2 linked regions of the Caenorhabditis elegans genome follow. The protein of the gene in region 1 purifies or fractionates together with the protein of each later gene. This does not show direct contact. Each region holds a gene or a part of one and is shown on either strand. Other genes may lie near its edges.

Region 1 (5,024 bases):
TCTTTTCGTTTCCAAGAAGTTCGACACGCGAAGTTTCGATTGCAAGTTGCTTTTCGGCTTCAGCTGCCTTTTTTTTAGCTACCTGGAAGTTTTTTTTGGTTTAAAAAATTGATTTTTTATTTAAAATTCGAGTTTTTTAACTGAATTTTTCCAATTTTTAACAATTTTAACTTAAAATTAATAATTCTCACAATAATCTCTCCATCAGGATCTTGAACTTCTTCTGTGGCCTCTGCCAACACATCATTCGCCTCATTTAGCACTTCATTTGCCAAATCTGTTAATTGTCCTTGAATATTTCGTAACCATCCGCTCATTACTGGAAAAAAGCAACGTTTTTTTCTCAAAAATCAATAAAATCAAGGGATAAATATCGCATTAAAAGTGGATCTTTTCTTCAGGTTTCTCTCCTATCGCGTGTCGTGTGTGAAAACACGTGAATTGACGCGCAATTGCACACTCTAACAATATTCACAAAAGTTTCAGAACATATTTCTAAATAAATACCAGAGGCCAAATCTTGTCGTTTTTTTTTAATTTAAAAAATTCATTGAAAAGGAAATGGCCTCATGGAGCACCATTGAGTTAAAATGTTCACGTTGAGGAAGAAACCTCAACGTTAACATATTCCTAGGAAAAAATCGGGAAAAATTATTTAAAAAATTCCGAGGGTAATTATTTAAAAAATTCCGAGGGTAACAACAAAAAGAATACGGTGACTTAGGGCCACAACTCAGTGAAAAAGGGGTAAAACCATGCGAAATACATTTTACAACAAAAATCAGGAACGAAAAATTGAAAACAAAAGAACAAAAATAAAATGAACGTTTTAAACATTCCAGGGGCGATCAGTCGGCTTAACGGAACCCGTTCGTAGAGCTGCCATGCGCTCCTACAAAAATTATAATTAAAACAAAACATATTGGCTTTCTTTTAAAAACATACTTGATGTGGACGAGTTCATGCGAGATCCGCCAAAAAATGGACGATTGCCTGGGGACGCTGGTCGGGTCCAGTGGTCCATATTTCTCTCGCTTTCCGCCCACAAATTGCGATGAAGTTGAGCCATTTCCAAAGATTTGGTTAATGCAACTTGCTTGCGAACTTCACGTTCATGTCGTGCAGAGTTACGAGATCCATTGATTTCATTTGGTTTATAACGGTATTCTGCAAGAAATCAGAATTATTTACGAAATAATCGATAATTTAGTATCATTTTCCTACCAGTTGGCGGCCAGCGTTCCATAGATGTTTTGTCTGGAATGATGACCAGAGGCTGAATGATTTCCGATTTCTTTAAATCCTGAGTGCATCTTGGTCCAGTGTCCTCATATTTTTCTGTTGGAATGACCTCAATGAGCGAAGAAGCGATACGGTCGTGGTCCGATTCCGACGAGCTTGGAGCGAAAACCTGGAAATATAGAAATTCAGAAATGGCCGATTTTCAGAAATTAATTTTATTGAAAAATCAAAAAAAAATTACCTCCAAAATCTTCGCACAAATCTCTCTGATACGCTGTGGGCCGGCTTTTGCGATCTCGAAGTTCTCCTCAAACGCCTTCTTCATAACTTTCTCCAGCTGTTCCGTGGATTCAAACGTGACTGAGCTGTGACACATGAGCTCGTTGGCGCACGAGACGTCGAACACTCCCATCGTGATGATATAATCGAGGTATTCCGTGAGAACTTCGAGTGGATCTTCAAAAACTGAGATGTTTTGATCAGTTTCCAGTGGGATTTCCTCGAATATCTCTGCGACCAACGCGGATTTACAGCTTTTCTCATCTTCTACAGTTTCTGCTGACATTGGGCTCAGATTCAGCTCATTCATCTTCAAATTATCAACAGCGGTGCCTGATTTATCGCCAATCGATATCGCCGTCTTCACTGAAGATTGAGATGATGGAGACGAGCATCGTTCTGCGTCTCCTTTATTGTCCGATTGACCAAAAATTCCGCTTCTTTCGTCGAATGTCTCCTCAATTGCTCCATTGACTGCTTTGTAGATCGCTGATGGAATGCGTCGCTTCTCAACTTCCAGTGACTTGAACCACGTTGAACATGCGAATTCTACGGGCCACGGGAATTTTCTCAAAACCTCAGAAGTCAAGTAGCTCTTCGCTTCATCATCGAATGGCTGCTTCATGGATTGACCAATCGCCTTGAGAATCATTTTACAGTTTTCAATGACTGTATTCGAAACGTTCGCGTCATCAATAGTGTTGAGCAAGAAACAAATGATCGAGGGAGTCAAGAGAACTTTGTCAGCTGGCTTAGATCTCGCCGACGTGGCATACTCCAAATTATCGAAGTTTTCGACAATTTTTGCAGCAATCTCGCTCAAAACCTCCACCGATATCATGGGAATTCTGTTCTCTGTGTAGAGTTCGCAAAGCACCACATCCAGAAGTGCCCATGCGGACATCAACGCGGGTTCCTTTCCTGAGCATATGACTCTTGCGAGTTGTTCCAAATTGCGCCACTCTTCGTTACTAGTATCCACCCAACGCTTATTGAGGATCAATCTGCGGAAAACGAGAGCCATGAGTGATTCAACTCGATCGGTTTCGTATTCCGTGTGATACATTTTCAACCGACGATCGAAGAACAATTGTGGCACTTTTTGGCACACTTCTATGCAAATTCCGGCGATGTCGAAGTTCTTGAGGCATTGAGTGAACATTTCCATAAGAGTGGTGGCTGGTGAGTAGAGCAGGTGCCAGCGGAGCTGAAATATCGATATGAACCGTGATTCGAAAATAATTATATTTTTACCTCTTCCTGAAAATCATCGTCGACTTCTTTTGGATTTTTGGAAATTTCATCCAATAGGCTCGCAACTTTCTCCCTGAATCTGGGTACGAGCGTTTCGAAGTATGGCGTATAATCAATTTCGTGAAATTGCCATTCCTTCACGAATTCCTCCTGGAAGAACTGCTTGCTCGGCTCCGTCAGCATACTGTAGAGTTTCCGCATGAGGAGGATGTAGTCTTTGCTCAGTCCGACGTCCTTTTGAGTGATTCCTGCTTGGAAATACTGCGTCGCGCTGAAAATTTGTATAAATGAGGGTACTGAAGGTGACATTATTCACATACTCCAGAGAAAGGTTGGAGGTGTAGAAATCGTAGATGAGGAAGTTGGATGATCTGTCCAAAAACTGTTGAACTCTGATCTTGCTCACGTCGTAGTTTCTGTAGCTGTAGAAAATCTGAAAAAAATAAATATTTATAAGTTAAACACTTGGAAACTCACAGCCTCCAGCTCCTGCACCCATTCCTTGTTCATATCAAGAGTCTTCTTATCGGGCAGTTCACTCGAACTCTTATTCTCAGCCATTATTATCTGTAAAGGGAGGTTTTCGTTGTTACAAAATGGTTTTAAAAAAAGGAAGATATGCATGTGGTATAAAACACAATGTAAATACTGATCAAGAATGAAAGAAAACAAGACATAATAGTGCTTTGTTATAAGCAATTCATCGAAAATTTAGTGCTCGGCAACAGCTTTTCCTTTCTCCTCGTACAATTTCGCCAATTCCTTCGGACAAGTATGCATGTATCCCTTGTTAGCAGCGCAAATCTCCTTCATTCTAGTGTACGGATCGTAGTTTCTGCAAGTTTTCGTTGAGACAAACTTGTGCGAGGATCAGACTGACGCGAAAAATTCTTCATATTTGTTGTGACGTGGCCAGACGTAAAATGCGTTGAAGGCGGCAGTCGAGACGACAGCGACAGCCAGTGAAACGTAAATTCCGCGTTTTCCATATGATTGGAGCATGTTTCGGGTAGCCATGGCTGAAAAACGGGAATTATTAGGAAAAATAAAGTTTTTGTATCAAGAATATTGATAATTTAAAATATTTCGTGCAAAAAAAATGGTGAAAATCGATGGAAAACGAACAAACTTTGAAGGAAATAGGACAAAAATGAAAAAAAAACTTTTAGGATTATGAATTCACGCAATTGCGCAATGCGGCCGCCCGTGGACTACGGTAGTTGTGGAGTGTATGCAGCGTGTTTGCGGACTTGCGTACCGTAACCGGCACTTAAAAGTTTTTTTTTTTTTTTAATATAAGAAATTTAAATTTCAACCTTTTTCTTTGGTTTTTCAATTGATTTTCTTACATTTTACGAGAAAAAATACCTAAAAATATTCCAAATTCAATGCAAATGTGACCTGTTATTTCTATTGTTCCTATTCGACTCACTACTAATTTTGCCTAACTTGGCCTAAAATTTCAGATGAAACGTGCGAGCACCTGTCTCCAACACCACTCCTTACCGGCTAAAAAAGCCTATTCAAGCTGTGGTGAGAAGCTCGAATTCAGACGATTTGTCGACTTTCATGGCACAACTGACAAATCATTTCGCACGAATTGGGGAACCGATCGTAAGTTGTTTTAAAACTTTTAAAAACGTTATCTTTTTAAGAAATTAATTGAATTTTCAGTTGAAAATGTGTCGGTTCTTGGCGAAGGAGTTTTTGGCACAGTTTTTGAGGTTGCTGATGCTGAGGTTTTTTTGTTTTAAAATTGTGCTTTAAATTTTAAATCTAATATTTTAGAAGAAGAAGAAATTTGCGCTGAAGCTCTTCAAAGCAGGACACACACAGTTTGGATGCGAAGACTGGGTTCGCGAAAGTGAGGTATTTAAATAATCTATAATTTTTTTTCCCCCCATTTTTCAGCTTTCAATCCCCAATTATTTACAGATAATGAAATCTGTCGCCGCTGCTCACCACCCGAATTTGATCAAACTCGTGAAAAGTGGAAAAATGGCTTCAGTTCCAGAAGGATATCTCCGAATTGCTATTCTGATGGAATTGAGAGGAAAATCGTTATTCAGCGTTATGGATTCAACAAAGTCGGAGGTGCCGAACAAGGAAATCTCGTTCCCAATTGCAACGATTCGAGAAATTGGAGCACAGATTTTGTCCGCTATGAAGAAGCTGGAAAAAATGGAAATTGTGCATTTGGATTTAAAGCCAGAGAATATCTGCTTCACTTCCACGTGTACCTTCACCAC
Region 2 (3,636 bases), on another chromosome or scaffold:
GAGTTTTCGATCCGAATGCCTCTGGATTCGAAATTTCCCGAGATGGAGGAGTTAAGGGAACTATTCGCTGTCTCTTCAAAGGGCATAGCGTCAAAATCGACTTTAGCCCCTGGAAGTTCGAGATCACCAAGGAATAATTTTATTATGTATTTTCTCTTTTAATGTTTAATTTATTTCTTTAATGTGTTCACTTCAATCAGTTTCGCTGAATAGTTTTTATAAAGTAACATTTGTTAGCTATTCTTTACGTATTTAGTCGCCAGAACAACTATCGAACTTTTTGAAATTACAGCAAACTTATACCAATATTTTTTGACACCTTACATGTCCAACTGGCTTCCAAGTTGTAGAAAGAAAACATCGAAGCAATGATACAAAACAAAAAGTTTATACGGGGAAATCACAATTTCTCAGGGCTTGTCTACCTAAGAATGAAGGGTTTGCAATATTATAGCAAATCTAAGAGAAGATCTTAAAAACAATTTCATATCTCCTAGAAGACAATCATAAAAGGCGGGGTGTGGGATGATAGGAGAGCAGGTGCAAACGATTTGACAGTTTAGTCACTGCAATTTTATTAAAATGACAAACTGAGGACAACAGAACGACATGCTTTAAAATTCACAAGCTAGAACTTAAAAAAACGGGGGAAGGGTCCAATCACTATTGTAGTGGGGGAAGAAAAAACATTGGGAATTTTTTGGATGGGAGATGTGTGTCGGTGGGTGGGTGCGCAATAATTATTACAAAATAACAGAAGGCCCGCATTGAATCGTACGAGATTTCTAAATAATTAACGGGTTTCTTATAACACGCCAATAGTTGAGAAGAGACAAGGGTAATCATTGATGGGGGGGGGGGGAGAATGGATAAACTTACATAATAAATTAACAAACGGCTAATATCGGGGTATGGGGATGTGGGGAGAAAACAATTTCAGGGAATTCGAACTTATTGTTCGGCAGCTGCGGCAGTATTGCCTTGGTTGTCACGTGGAGCATATCCACCACGACGGTATCCACCGTTGTTCTGACGATAACCTCCATTGTATCCTCCACGGTGCTGGTGTTGATGCTGGTATCCGTTGTTGTAACCTGAAAATTGAGCATAAGACGTTGTAACTTCTAAAGTGGAACTATACCTCCATATCCGCGGTTTCCACCACGTCCTCGTCCTCCGAATCCACGACGGTAGTTCAACGAACGCACTGCGTTGTGTCCGAACGTCTCCTGATTCGTTTCTCTCTCCTTCTTCCAATCTGGCCGTCCAGTCTTTCCTTCGGCTTTCTCCAGTGATTCACAGCTGATGTTGTCAAAGAATGAAGTCTTCTTGTCGTAGAAGGCAGCATCCTTCTTCTCCTCAACTTCTGGCTCGGCCTTATCCTCAATGTTGAGCTTCTCAAGGTTGTCGACGAGAACTTCTTGGAACTTCTCATTGGCCTTCTCGAAGTCAAAGTCCGATTCGAACTTCAGCTTTTCGCGGTGATTAACTCGAGGAACTCCATAATTGTTGTGCCCTCTTTGGTTGTTGTATCCGCCAGCGAATCCTCCGCGGTAGTTGTTGTATCCACGGTTAGCTTGGAAGTCTGAAAACATGATCATAAATCCAGAGTTGATTTGAAAGAAAATAAAACTGACTTTGCTGATAACCTCCACGTCCTGGACGTTGATTTTGGATGATTTGGCCTAACGGACTGTTACGGGATGGCGTTCCGGCTCTGGAAGAACCTGCAGAGGCAGCTGGAGCTCCGTCACTTGCTGGGGCTGATCTCGAGGAGACAGAGATGATGGCTGGATCGTATGGAAGCCCTCCTCCAATGTTGGCCATCTGAAAAGACATTATTTAGATCAATGAAGCTCGATTATCCGGCAACTCGCCTTCGGAGTATCACAAACGATCAAATCCTTGATGTCGCTGGCCTTGAAGATGATGTACTCGTAGACATCATCACGAGCGGCGACCGGATTAGCAGTTGGACGCTTCTCGGTTCCGAACGAGCGAACCTTGGCCAACGCGATGGTAGAGTCGTTGGTGTCGACGGTGTAGAGGATTCCCTCGTAACGGATGTCGAGCTTGGAGATCAGACTAATCTTGCTTCCGATGTACGGTGTTTGATTCGACATTATTACCTGCAAAAATGTAATATAATTTAAGTTTCACAACGTTTGAAGAAAGACGAAGAGCAATATTGTCGGGAATAGGAGAATAAATTAACAACTGAAACCGTGTAAATGTGCGCTTCTATCAATCCTAAAACAAAATCTTGCGGAATACTACGAAAAATGTCGAAGCGATCTCAATTGTGTCGAGAAACCTTAGAAATTAACCTAATTGGCCTAAAATCGATACGGAGGTGTCAATAAGTCTTAGAGGAACATCAACGATAATATACAAGGATAACACTGACAGTTTAAAGCCCTAATTTCTTATAAGAAGTGGGAAAAGCTGCAAAAGTTTAAAAGTAAAATGCGAAGCCGTCATCGTTATCGATTCTGCGCCGATGGAGCGTGATTGCATCCGTCTGCCCACTTATTTTATGAGGTACTGCGCAGCCACGGCCGTACCATTGCAGTAAAAATAATTTTGAGTATTAAGAACCGAAAACTCACTAATTGAACTTCTCAAACAGCTAAAAATCGGCAGAAGAAATAAAAGGTAAGCTCAAACTTGAAAATCACAAAAAATGGGAAGTTTCTATCAAAATTCGCAAAATTTAATGATTCTAAGCTGTAACTTTAAGTTCATCACGTCAAAAATAATTATTTTAGCAATAAAACATTGAAAATTTCCCTAGAAAATCAAAAAAAATAACGAAAAATCAACAATTTTGCGAAGAAAACAACAAAAATCCTAAAATGGCGCTGCACCCCAATCCCATTTAAAGGCGCATGTTTTGCTATAGGTTTTTGTGGGTCTCGCCACGATTCTGCAAATCTTGGCACCGTGCCAACTCCGTAAATCGACACTAATTATTTTTCAAAATTTAAATGAAATAAAATCAATTTTTGTGCGAATTTATTGAATTTTCTCGTTTTTTTGTGATAAAATTGTGAAAAAGACTGAAATTTACTTAAATTTTATTGTTTAAAACTAGTTATATCTTCTAAAATCAATTTTTATTCGATTTTTCAGGCAAACTCCCGCGAAAAATGGCCGGAATCACCGCACACTCCCAATCCCAACAATTTGAAGAAGACGAATTCAACGAGATAAAGAAGACCGGTGTATCGTGTGATCGTCTACGTCAAGCACTCAAAAAATGCATCAAAAACTCGCATTGTGTGCAAGTTCAAGCTCGATCTGCGAAGGAATGCATCGATGCACGTGGCGACGGAAGTGTACCCGACAAATGTTTCGCCGTTCTCCAAAATTTCACCGACTGCAAGCGATCACTGGTGGACATGAGATCGAGATTCCGAGGAAGGAAGGGCGATCTTTGAGCGAATAATTCGAAAATTTTCATATTTTTTGTTACTTTCTTTTTAGGATTTCAGCTTTCTCTATAATATAATACGTGTATAAATCTATTTTCCAGGAAGAATGTGTTAAAAACTTGAGAATTATCATCGTATCGCTAAGCTGGGCCTGTGGATTCGGCTTTTGGGAATTTCCCGCAAAATATTGAACTTTTCGCCT

What was found. The genes of interacting proteins can lie anywhere in the genome.
Region 2: the proteins of herd-1 (region 1) and car-1 purify together in Caenorhabditis elegans (affinity purification with mass spectrometry, with the first as the bait; one large-scale study listed by BioGRID). This does not show direct contact.

Annotation. Positions count from the first base shown.
Region 1 is NC_003281.10:12,494,856-12,499,879, reverse strand, and holds herd-1 (Edg1 TPR repeats region domain-containing protein), read right to left. Parts: upstream 3,343-5,024; 5' UTR 3,337-3,342; coding exon 3,253-3,336; intron 3,209-3,252; coding exon 3,096-3,208; intron 3,047-3,095; coding exon 2,776-3,046; intron 2,729-2,775; coding exon 1,484-2,728; intron 1,412-1,483; coding exon 1,225-1,411; intron 1,168-1,224; coding exon 946-1,167; intron 893-945; coding exon 858-892; 3' UTR 533-857; downstream 1-532. Other genes in the region: sql-1 (GRIP domain-containing protein), read right to left, coding at 1-82, 192-317; Y111B2A.2 (Mitochondrial cytochrome c oxidase subunit VIc/VIIs domain-containing protein), read right to left, coding at 3,487-3,610, 3,656-3,792; Y111B2A.1 (Protein kinase domain-containing protein), read left to right, coding at 4,242-4,389, 4,450-4,514, 4,564-4,644, 4,711-5,024.
Region 2 is NC_003279.8:12,902,963-12,906,598, reverse strand, and holds car-1 (Protein LSM14 homolog car-1), read right to left. Parts: upstream 2,130-3,636; 5' UTR 2,124-2,129; coding exon 1,878-2,123; intron 1,828-1,877; coding exon 1,638-1,827; intron 1,586-1,637; coding exon 1,142-1,585; intron 1,095-1,141; coding exon 952-1,094; 3' UTR 559-951; downstream 1-558. Other genes in the region: coa-5 (Cytochrome c oxidase assembly factor 5), read left to right, coding at 3,150-3,440. UniProt on the Caenorhabditis elegans protein: Transcriptional regulator. Involved in modulating embryonic expression of ATP-dependent chaperone cdc-48.1. May play a role in mRNA gene silencing, and RNA granule (P-body) assembly.